2 linked regions of the Saccharomyces cerevisiae S288C genome follow. The gene in region 2 interacts genetically with the main gene of each other region. Each region holds a gene or a part of one and is shown on either strand. Other genes may lie near its edges. The genes, in order: CCH1 and ERG10.

Region 1 (7,881 bases), on a different chromosome or scaffold from region 2:
CCTGAATAGTAAAGTTTGACATGCTCTAGAAAATCACCTCTCAATAAAACAAATTTAAATTATTCTTATTGTTCATTTTTACATCTATAAAGCCTCTTAAATATGCCCTTATATAATTTATCTATCAATTAGATCATTTGCGCTATCGTCATTATTATCTATTGGTTCTTCCGGGGGCTCCATCGTAGAGTCTTGATTCATTCTCGGAGACCACATAAAATTGTTAACACCGTAGTCCATTCTAGGTGTCGCAATAGGTTCTCTTTCTAAAATTCCTGGAGCAGGTTCCAGATTTACGTTTATATTCGAAATGTGAGACGATACTGTGGGATCTTTAACATCCCATTCGGGTTCAATGGTACGTTTCATCCTGCAATGAAATTTCCATCTTGTTACCACCATCTCCAATACATCGAAGTTTCTTTGATTTTCTAAGTACTTGTCCACTTTACCCAGGATATATAGATGATGGACATATTGATCAATACCTAGACATTCCCTTGCAGAATAAGCTGTATAGAGAGGTATTTGTAATAACAAATCCGAGAATCTGATACATCCATTATAAGCATTCGTATAGTGAATGCTTTGTACAAATCTTCTGTACTGTAACTTCCTCTGTATGATCTTTGCTTTATCAATCGTATTCAGCTCTTTGTTCAGTCCGATCAGGTCTATTTTGACGTCATATGGATCATCTGGGTTAACCTCCATGTAGTTCTCGACTAGACTTTTTATTGTCAATCTACCTTCCCAAATTTTAAATGAAAGAGGACCGTCAAATGAATGCATTATTCTTGGGAGGTAGGACAGCTCAAGCTCGCCAGTTCCATCAGTATCAAATTTGGACCAAGCTTCAATGTATTTTTTTATCTCCGATCTGTTGATGCCAGAGCGAGATCCACCGCTACGGTAAACATAACTGAAATTACCAATAATCAACGAAACAAACATATTCACAAAAATATACATGGAAATAATATTCCACGACATTAATAACAAATAGGCATATGTCTCTGATCCACAGTCCGTATAGGTTGAATTATCATCAGAGGAGCAATAAGGTTCTGACACAGTTAGGTCGGCCATGATATAATTCCAGCCCTCACCAAAACTACATCTAAACAGAACAATCATGGATTTGATTACAGTTCTAAAATTTATGTTATCGGTCGTATTACTCCCTAACCTTGTTAGGCCGAAGATTTGATTCAAAGCAATAGCATATACTAAAAATAAAACCCCCCAAGTGTAGGTCAATGATAGAATAGGCGGTAAGCTTGCCATTGCGGTTTCTAATAGTTCAGTTAGTGTGTCATTTTGAGGAATAATAAACAAAAATATCACTAACAGGAAAAACCCCTTTATATTGTGGAACCAATAGTGAGAGGCTGGAACGTGGAATGCTACAGCGTTCATAATAAAGGCTATAATTATGATACTGAGTCGTATGCTGTTCCATTTTTGCCTAAAATATAATCTTGGTCCTTCACCGCACATGTGAAGTGCCTCTTGAATTAAAAAAACACTAGTGGAAAACATAAAATAAACACCTTGATAACCTATCAAGTTTCCTGGATTGTAGCTTCGACTCAGGAGCATGATTATGTGCAAATAAAGTACTACCTGAAGAAACGATGCGTAGTAGAAATTTTTTTTCTCCACTGCAAGTTGATAGAAAAATTGCCTAACTCTTGATAACTCAATTAAATTTGGGATAGCTTTTGGCTTGGCCTGAGATAAAAGTTTCTGGGATTCCAGCCACGCCTTTTCCTCAATGGTAAAGTAAGCGCTTCCTGTTGTCCTTGCTTGGTTGTTAACAATGAATGAAACAAACAAGTTCAGGATGAAAACCATACTTAAAAAATTAAACAGAACGAGGAATAAAGCATTCCCTGCTGAACCCATTACCGTAGCGGGTGTACCTATTCCTGAACTATTCATCATATTTTCCAACAAATCAACCCATCCTTCCAAAGAAATGATTTGGTATAATGAACTAAAAGCGCTTGCGAAAGAGTCCAAATGAAGATATGGTTGCTGGTAAACCCTTGGAGACATGATATCCCATTGAAAAACGGAATTTGAATATTCATTGTAACAATCTGCACGGCCCAAACTTCCGTCATTGCAAGTACCTAAACGGCCTTTAAAAATGCTTAAGCCCCAAACTGTAAATGGAAATAGCAAACTGAGTGAAATCAACCCAGCTTCAAAAATTTTATTTAAACCATCAAACATAACTAGGTTAAATGTTTGACGAGCTGTGTTACTGATCGTGAGGCATCTGAGGGCCCTCAGGGCTGTCAATCCCTTGAAAATCCTAGACAAATTTCCATTGTTTTTTAGGTATGCAATTAAATTAATCCACATTGAGATTAGGACACAAAAATCAATAAAGTTCCATGGATTCCTCAGGTAAGCATTTGGAGAATATATAAATCCGTCAGCTACTGTTTTCACGATAAATTCAATTGAGAAGGCACCAATGAAGGCGCAATCTAACGCCGAGGACCAATTCCAAGTTCCCATCTTGTGATGCATACGATATAGAGGCGTAACATAACATGAGCAAACAATTAGTAAAATGGTGGCAAGTGCGAAAATGAATACAAATACATCTCTTTCAATATGATGAAAATAGCTCCTTTTATTGTATAGATCAGTGCTATCCTCGAAAAATCGTGATCCATCAGTCCTTTTTCCAGTGCTTGGTGGTACCAAGCGTTGACAGAACCTTCGAAATCTATGCTGAGGAGAAAAGAAATAATATGAGTAATTGAATAAAGGGTACTTTTTTAAATAATCTAGCTTCTCATCCTCGTACTCATTCAACTCCAAGATATACGTCCTCCCATTTATATCGTTCGTTTCTGTAAACACAACGTCACTATTTTTATAAAATGGATTATTAGCAAACATTCTCAGCCTTTTTAGTGACGGAACCCCAATTGTGAGCTTTGATAAGCCCTTTTTAAATAGGTTTTCTGAAGGTGGCTCTTTGAATTCATCGGCCAACTCCCCCATATTCTGCGCTATGTTCATTATCGCGGTTCCTCTCATAAGAAATTGCTTAAAATCTCTTGTATCTTCGTTCCTATGACCTCCAAAGAATTTTTTACGAATTCTCGCAACCAAACTAGCGTGTGTATATTCTTGTATTTTCTGAGGATAGACGAACTTAAGATAATGCTTAATTTGCTGTGGTCGTTTTTCTTCTTCTTTCACTTCCATGCTTTCTGATATTAGGGCAATGAAAATGTTCAAGATCACTGAGTTGGATAGTAGAAACCATATAATAAAAAATACTGAGCAAAAAAAAGTTGAGGAGATGTTTGGTGAGTGTTTTTGGAGGGCATATAGGATATCCGTCCAATTTTCAGTTGAACCTATTATAAACAAAGAAAGAAATGAATTCGGTAGTGAATACATTCCAAATGGCTGGTCTGCCATTTCTTCTGGAGGAATCACGCCTTCGAAATACACAGCCATGATTATAGCAACCAAAAAGGTGAAAAAAAAGTAAAAAGACGATAAGTTCCAAATCATAACACCATTACTCAATATTTGTTTCCATAGTTTTTTTGTTAAATTGAAAGAAATAATCACCCTGTAAAATCTGGATATGTGGAATATGGATAGCCAGGCATACATATGTCCTAGAACCCCTTCAACAGCCAGGCAACTAATAACCAGAGTAATAATTGATATAATAAAATCGTAAACGTAACTAGGTTTTGTTAAAAACTTCCACATATTGGGCAGATATAATACTAACCTTGCCAGTGATTCGATGAAGAGAACAATCGAAATTCCCCTGTCAGTTTTTAGAAGGATATTGTTACAGTTTGCCGAAGTCGATACTTTAACAGAGGCGCGCATACCTATATCGCAAATAATAAGTATGACAAAGATAAACTCAACGTGGGAATAAATAGCTAGTCCTTTTTGGGACCAATTTGGGAATTTTGTCTGATTCGCCTTAAGCTTAAAATATTTCCAGTAGCCTGTTACTATGCGAGCAACATAACCTGTCTTTCTAGAACCATATATGAACTTTTTCTTTTTGTACTCCTCATTGGCTATTTCAAAAGATGATACCAACACTGCAATGAGTAGATTTAGCAGCCAGATAGTTAAAACAAAGATGCAAACAATAAAAAACAAACAGGCAGCCATTTCATCCGAATCCATCGTATAGTACATTAAGTCAGTAAAAGTATTCGCACTCATAATGACAAAAACGAGCTCCATGGAATTAACAATATTATCAAAACTAATTCTGCCGTTGTAGGGGTTGGCATTGGAAACACATTTCGAATATTGTGGGCAAAGAAAGCCTTTTGAAACAGAACCTTCTGATCCGTCTTCATAGATATAATTTTGTTTTCGTTTTGTTACTGGATCTAGGTAACCACCACAGAATTGCATATCGTACTGGTAAGTATCGGTAGGATCTTCAGGGTTAAACCATACACATTGTCTTCGAAAAGAGCCCTGAAAAATCTGTACTCCCAAAATCCCAAAGAAAATCCAAAAGTAAACTAGCATTGAACTAACATTTACCAACTGTGGGATACCATATTTCAATCCCCTTAGAATTGAGGGCATACCAGTATCCACGTTTACAAGTCGAAGAATCCTTAATATAGCAAGGGGCTTGAATATTCTTATGCCTGTTTTTGTATCATAACTTTTTATGGATAAAAACATACCTAGCCAAAAACTGACAGAAGATACCAGATCTATTCTATTCCACGATGATCTCGCAAAGGCTCTTGGGGTGCCAAAAGGCCTCTGATTTTCCTTTGCCCCATAAGGTTTCGTCAGGGAAGTACTCAACGAACTTCGTTGATATTTTGTCTCTTCTCCCGGCGATATGATCCTAAATGGAATAATGAAATCTATTAGCTTTCTACCATACTTTTCTCTCAGATATATGTATAGTTTCATAATTCCAGATCTCTGTAAGATTGATTTATACTCACGTCCATAGGCTTTAAACATTTCAGAATCGTCCCAAAATCCAAACGCAATTATTTTAGCAATATCATTGCCTGTAAAGCAAGCTGATAAAATAAAAATGAAATAGTCGGTCCAGTTAGAGAAACGGTATAAAAAAACCACATTGTGAGGGTTATATGTCCTTATCGCCAGGAGAATGGCATAAAATGTTAACAAAGTGTTGTAAAGTAACGAATACCGCCTATGCAACAAAAAACGAGCAATTTTTATTCTTAGCGGATTCGTAGGCGAGAAAACCCCAAGAGAATGTCCATAAAGCACAAAGGGCCTTGATTCCAGTTTTCTTTGAAGGGTTTCAAAATCTAGAATGTCTTCAGCATACTCAATAACTTCTGTTTGGTCTTTATCTTCTTTTTGCGGTGATAAATGATGAAAAAACTTTGGACTGGGTTTCTTTCTTGAATTATTAATAGAGCCTTCTAGACCCTCAGATACCGAACCATTCTGCGCGGGTTCGGGTGTTAGATGAATTGATCCTGGAGTAGCGCTTGCTCCTACATTGGGTGTATGAACGTCAGGTATAGATTCTTGTTCTCCTTCTCCTCTATCTTCTCCAACGTCTGATACAGGACGGCTTTTTTCTGATTTTAATTGGGGTAGCCATGTCAGGCCCTCTTCGTCTATTGCACTTTTAAATCCCTTTTGCAAATCTTCAAAATCATCCATATCATCAGCGGCAATTAGCGATAAAACCTTTGCCGACCGTGGAGGCCTATCCGTTGAGCTTGGTGAATTAGAAACACGCCTACTAGATGATCGGCTATAACTACTGAAGCTACGCCTGCGTAGCCTTTCATCATTTAAATCAATATACTGCGAACTAGACTTGGCAGATTTTGTAGAGGGTGAAACATTACGCCGGGAAGATTCAGCGGCACCAAATGATGCTGTTTTAAGTGAGAGTTTAGGCCTGCTCAAGTTTTCATGACTACTCCTTCCGACACGAGTACGAAATATGTTGGAGATTAAGGAGCTATCTTTATCATTTCCATTGTACTCGTCACCTTTTTTTTCTTCAGTACTGTGGATGCTGCTCTCTGGTGGCACGATATTTAAAGCTGGTGGGACCAAAGCTTGTGGTTTTGATTCTAGACGGTTACCATCTGTTTCGCTGTTATCCTCAACATTTTCCGTCATTACTGCTGCATTGTCCCCAAATGGATTGGTATTTGGCTCAAATGGTTCCGTAAGCGTCCTTTTTCTCCCCTGCATAGTACTAACAATATATTCTATTTAGTAATGCCGTGTATTTTGATTTTCCTTATGTTAGCTTGTCACCAACCATTGATTCATGATCTTCTATCTCATCTATATTTATTTTCAGTGAGAATGCCGAAATGTAGAATATGAAAAAAACCTACCAGAACATAATACCAAAAAGAATGAAAATTCCTCTGTGAACAGGAACCTTCGAATTCAGGGGCGGTTTTATACAGTTAAATGACATGCCAAATTACATTTTCTGGCCATACGAATCCTTGTTCGAGAATTCCGCAGCTCAAGGACCTCAGGTAGCTTTGGCAATTTCATTTGAGAAGACGCATTTTGTTGTCTTAGGTGTTTGCGAACCTCAGTATTTAGAAGAAGTAAGCATACGGCCCCCTTATTCAGTGGTAGCTACTAAGAACAATGGAGCGGAGGGTTGGAACTACAAAGTTGCTGATCCCTGTAATGTCCATTTTAGAATACCCAAGCTGAAATTTATGCAATTCTATTCTTCTGATCCCATCTCGCTCATCATACCAGAAAAAGAAGTTGGTCTTCATAGTAGTGTGGGTGAAACTCTGAACTATTCTAAATTAGAGCAACATCCAAGATACAAGAGAGATAATAAGAAATTGAGTGAAACTTTGAACATCATTAATCTATTCCCCGCATATTGTAAAGCATTAAATGAGCTTTACCCGTTTATTCAAACATCACAGGAAAATTTGAGGGGTACTATGCTTAATAGTGTCGCAGCTTGGTGTTCATCTACTTGTATTTATAAAATGGTCGCAAAAATTGGTTTTTATTTGACTTTTGTGATCTGCTCTATTGCTAGTCTCGTATCCTCGTTATTAAATTATTCGCACTTTCAGTTGGTAAATTACTCGGCATTTGTCCAGCAAATCGATCTTCGTTGTCAACAAATTTGCTATTTCCCAGTACAGTATGAGCGTATTAATAAGAAGGATAACATACAGAATGTTGGCTCTATGGTGGAAAAAGATAATTCTAATAGTCAATTCTCACATTCATATATGCCTTCTAAATTCTATCCCGATTATATTTTATTGTATAATACAATTTGGCTTATTATTAATGACATTTCATTTGGTTTAATATTGGGGGCCATACTTATTGAGAATCGAGATTTCTTGGTGTCGGCATCCCATAGAGTATTGAAGTTTTTTTTATATGATTCATTAAAAACAATAACTGAAACGTTAGCAAATAACCCCCTTGGCATCAAATTAAATGCAGAACTTGCGAACTTTTTGAGCGAATTATTTCTTTGGGTGATAGAATTTTCTTATACCACATTCATAAAAAGACTCATTGATCCGAAAACCCTATCATCTTTGCTCACGTTAACGATATATATGATGTTTCTCGTTGGCTTTTCTTTTGCTGTTTCCCTAGCGATTGATTTTTTTGCAATTTTAAGTTTTCCAATATATGTTTTTTATCGTATCAGCAGTAAACTGTACCATTGTCAGTTGAATATTATGGCTAGTCTTTTTAACCTGTTCTGCGGTAAAAAGAGGAACGTTTTACGAAATAGGATTGACCATAACTATTTTCAACTAGATCAATTGCTATTGGGAACATTATTATTTATTATTCTAGTGTTCTTGACTCCCACAGTGATGG
Region 2 (3,685 bases):
CAATTTACTGACTGGAGAGGAAGTTATTCGTGATTTGGATGATAGAGGAAATTCAGCAGGGCTGACATCAGGCACAGTAGAAATGGTGCCAATAAATCAAAAATTTGACGTTGTTGTTCTTGATGAAATTCAAATGATGTCTGATGGGGATCGTGGCTGGGCTTGGACGAACGCGCTTTTAGGTGTCGTTTCCAAGGAGGTCCATCTTTGTGGTGAAAAGAGTGTTCTACCTTTGGTTAAGAGCATTGTTAAAATGACTGGCGATAAATTAACGATTAATGAATATGAGAGGTTAGGAAAGTTAAGTGTTGAAGAAAAACCTATCAAAGATGGCATCAAAGGTTTGCGCAAAGGAGATTGCGTCGTTGCGTTTTCAAAGAAGAAAATATTGGATCTCAAGCTAAAGATAGAGAAAGACACCAATTTGAAAGTTGCTGTAATTTATGGCTCTTTGCCGCCTGAAACACGTGTTCAACAAGCCGCCCTATTCAACAATGGAGAGTATGACATAATGGTAGCATCAGACGCTATTGGTATGGGTTTAAACCTGTCTATTGACAGAGTTGTATTCACGACAAATATGAAATATAATGGTGAAGAACTAATGGAAATGACTTCTTCTCAAATCAAACAAATAGGTGGTCGTGCGGGAAGGTTCAAATCTAGATCTGCCTCCGGGGGTGTTCCTCAGGGTTTTATCACCAGTTTCGAATCAAAAGTTTTGAAAAGTGTAAGAAAAGCTATTGAAGCACCTGTGGAGTATTTAAAAACTGCGGTTACATGGCCTACAGATGAAATATGTGCTCAACTAATGACACAATTCCCACCAGGAACGCCGACCAGTGTCCTGCTGCAGACTATTTCAGATGAGCTAGAGAAAAGTTCTGACAACCTGTTCACGTTATCTGATTTAAAGAGCAAACTGAAAGTTATTGGCTTATTCGAGCACATGGAAGATATCCCATTTTTCGACAAGCTGAAACTAAGCAATGCGCCCGTGAAGGACATGCCTATGGTCACAAAGGCGTTCACCAAATTTTGCGAAACAATAGCAAAAAGGCATACAAGAGGCCTACTGTCATACCGATTACCTTTTAACCTACTGGACTACAATTGCATACCGAATGAGAGTTATTCATTAGAGGTTTATGAGTCATTGTACAACATCATTACTCTATACTTCTGGCTCAGCAACAGGTACCCAAACTACTTCATTGACATGGAATCTGCTAAAGATTTGAAGTATTTCTGTGAGATGATTATTTTCGAGAAACTTGATCGATTAAAGAAGAATCCTTACGCACATAAGCCCTTTGGTTCTACAAGAGGTCACCTCTCATCTTCGAGAAGAAGATTGCGTACATAATCTACGATATATCCTGTAAATAGAAACAGCTACACTGCTTGAAAGCCTTAACATGATACATTTCTGGTATGATGCCATTGTTGTGCCCTGCCGGGTTTATCGTTTCCTAACAGGCACGTCACTTATAACGAGGTGCCTGTCGTTTACCGCCCAAGCCGGTTTTTTCGCTGGAGAGTACGGTACTACTAGCCCACCACACGTTCGTGGCCAGGTTGATAGGCCACCGTTGAGCAAAGGGCAGTAAAATATATAAAAGAGGAACAAGCGCTTCCATTAAGAGCACTGCTAAGCCTACTCGTTTTCTAGTTCTCTGAAAAAAGGTAGCCTAAAACAAGCGCCATATCATATATATTTATACAGATTAGACGTACTCAAAATGTCTCAGAACGTTTACATTGTATCGACTGCCAGAACCCCAATTGGTTCATTCCAGGGTTCTCTATCCTCCAAGACAGCAGTGGAATTGGGTGCTGTTGCTTTAAAAGGCGCCTTGGCTAAGGTTCCAGAATTGGATGCATCCAAGGATTTTGACGAAATTATTTTTGGTAACGTTCTTTCTGCCAATTTGGGCCAAGCTCCGGCCAGACAAGTTGCTTTGGCTGCCGGTTTGAGTAATCATATCGTTGCAAGCACAGTTAACAAGGTCTGTGCATCCGCTATGAAGGCAATCATTTTGGGTGCTCAATCCATCAAATGTGGTAATGCTGATGTTGTCGTAGCTGGTGGTTGTGAATCTATGACTAACGCACCATACTACATGCCAGCAGCCCGTGCGGGTGCCAAATTTGGCCAAACTGTTCTTGTTGATGGTGTCGAAAGAGATGGGTTGAACGATGCGTACGATGGTCTAGCCATGGGTGTACACGCAGAAAAGTGTGCCCGTGATTGGGATATTACTAGAGAACAACAAGACAATTTTGCCATCGAATCCTACCAAAAATCTCAAAAATCTCAAAAGGAAGGTAAATTCGACAATGAAATTGTACCTGTTACCATTAAGGGATTTAGAGGTAAGCCTGATACTCAAGTCACGAAGGACGAGGAACCTGCTAGATTACACGTTGAAAAATTGAGATCTGCAAGGACTGTTTTCCAAAAAGAAAACGGTACTGTTACTGCCGCTAACGCTTCTCCAATCAACGATGGTGCTGCAGCCGTCATCTTGGTTTCCGAAAAAGTTTTGAAGGAAAAGAATTTGAAGCCTTTGGCTATTATCAAAGGTTGGGGTGAGGCCGCTCATCAACCAGCTGATTTTACATGGGCTCCATCTCTTGCAGTTCCAAAGGCTTTGAAACATGCTGGCATCGAAGACATCAATTCTGTTGATTACTTTGAATTCAATGAAGCCTTTTCGGTTGTCGGTTTGGTGAACACTAAGATTTTGAAGCTAGACCCATCTAAGGTTAATGTATATGGTGGTGCTGTTGCTCTAGGTCACCCATTGGGTTGTTCTGGTGCTAGAGTGGTTGTTACACTGCTATCCATCTTACAGCAAGAAGGAGGTAAGATCGGTGTTGCCGCCATTTGTAATGGTGGTGGTGGTGCTTCCTCTATTGTCATTGAAAAGATATGATTACGTTCTGCGATTTTCTCATGATCTTTTTCATAAAATACATAAATATATAAATGGCTTTATGTATAACAGGCATAATTTAAAGTTTTATTTGCGATTCATCGTTTTTCAGGTACTCAAACGCTGAGGTGTGCCTTTTGACTTACTTTTCCGCCTTGGCAAGCTGGCCGGGTGATACTTGCACAAGTTCCACTAATTACTGACATTTGTGGTATTAACTCGTTTGACTGCTCTACAATTGTAGGATGTTAATCAATGTCTTGGCTGCCTTCATTCTCTTCAGGCTCTATTAATTTTAACCGTTATAAGTTCCTTTTCTCCCTTGGAAGCAAACATCAACTGCCTTAAAATCTGGTGGCGAGGAAAGAGGAAATGGCATGTACTAATGATGGTCCTAATAAATATCCCGAAATTGTGAGTGTTAAGCACCTGTTCCAACATTCGGGATCCAAGCATGAATTTAGTGCTGGTAAACGATTTTCAAAATCCATTGGTAAAATATTCAAACGAAACTCTGCTTTGAAAACTTCTAGAACTGAAACGGCAAATCATAAAATGGAATTGAAAAAAAGAGAGGGTGTTACCTTATTGCCACCTGTCCCAGAATCATTATTACATAAACTCAATTCTTGGTTGGAAACTTTTTCTTCCACCAAGAACATGAAAATCGAAGAAAACAAAATTGTTATTAATGAAAAAGAGATTCGGGATTCAGTCTCTTACTACCCTGATAAGAATGGAGGAAG

What was found.
Region 1: mutations in ERG10 (region 2) and CCH1 together harm fitness more than expected from each alone (negative genetic interaction), as found in Saccharomyces cerevisiae (2 studies listed by BioGRID).

The regions. Positions count from the first base shown.
Region 1 is NC_001139.9:923,052-930,932, reverse strand, and holds CCH1 (calcium channel protein CCH1), read right to left. Parts: upstream 6,238-7,881; coding exon 118-6,237; downstream 1-117. Other genes in the region: GPI1 (phosphatidylinositol N-acetylglucosaminyltransferase), read left to right, coding at 6,471-7,881. UniProt on the Saccharomyces cerevisiae protein: Voltage-gated, high-affinity calcium channel that functions together with MID1 to mediate calcium entry into cells. Required during conditions of environmental stress.
Region 2 is NC_001148.4:496,354-500,038, forward strand, and holds ERG10 (acetyl-CoA C-acetyltransferase), read left to right. Parts: upstream 1-1,742; coding exon 1,743-2,939; downstream 2,940-3,685. Other genes in the region: ATP-dependent RNA helicase SUV3, read left to right, coding at 1-1,366; SMA1 (Sma1p), read left to right, coding at 3,312-3,685. UniProt on the Saccharomyces cerevisiae protein: Acetyl-CoA acetyltransferase; part of the first module of ergosterol biosynthesis pathway that includes the early steps of the pathway, conserved across all eukaryotes, and which results in the formation of mevalonate from acetyl-coenzyme A (acetyl-CoA).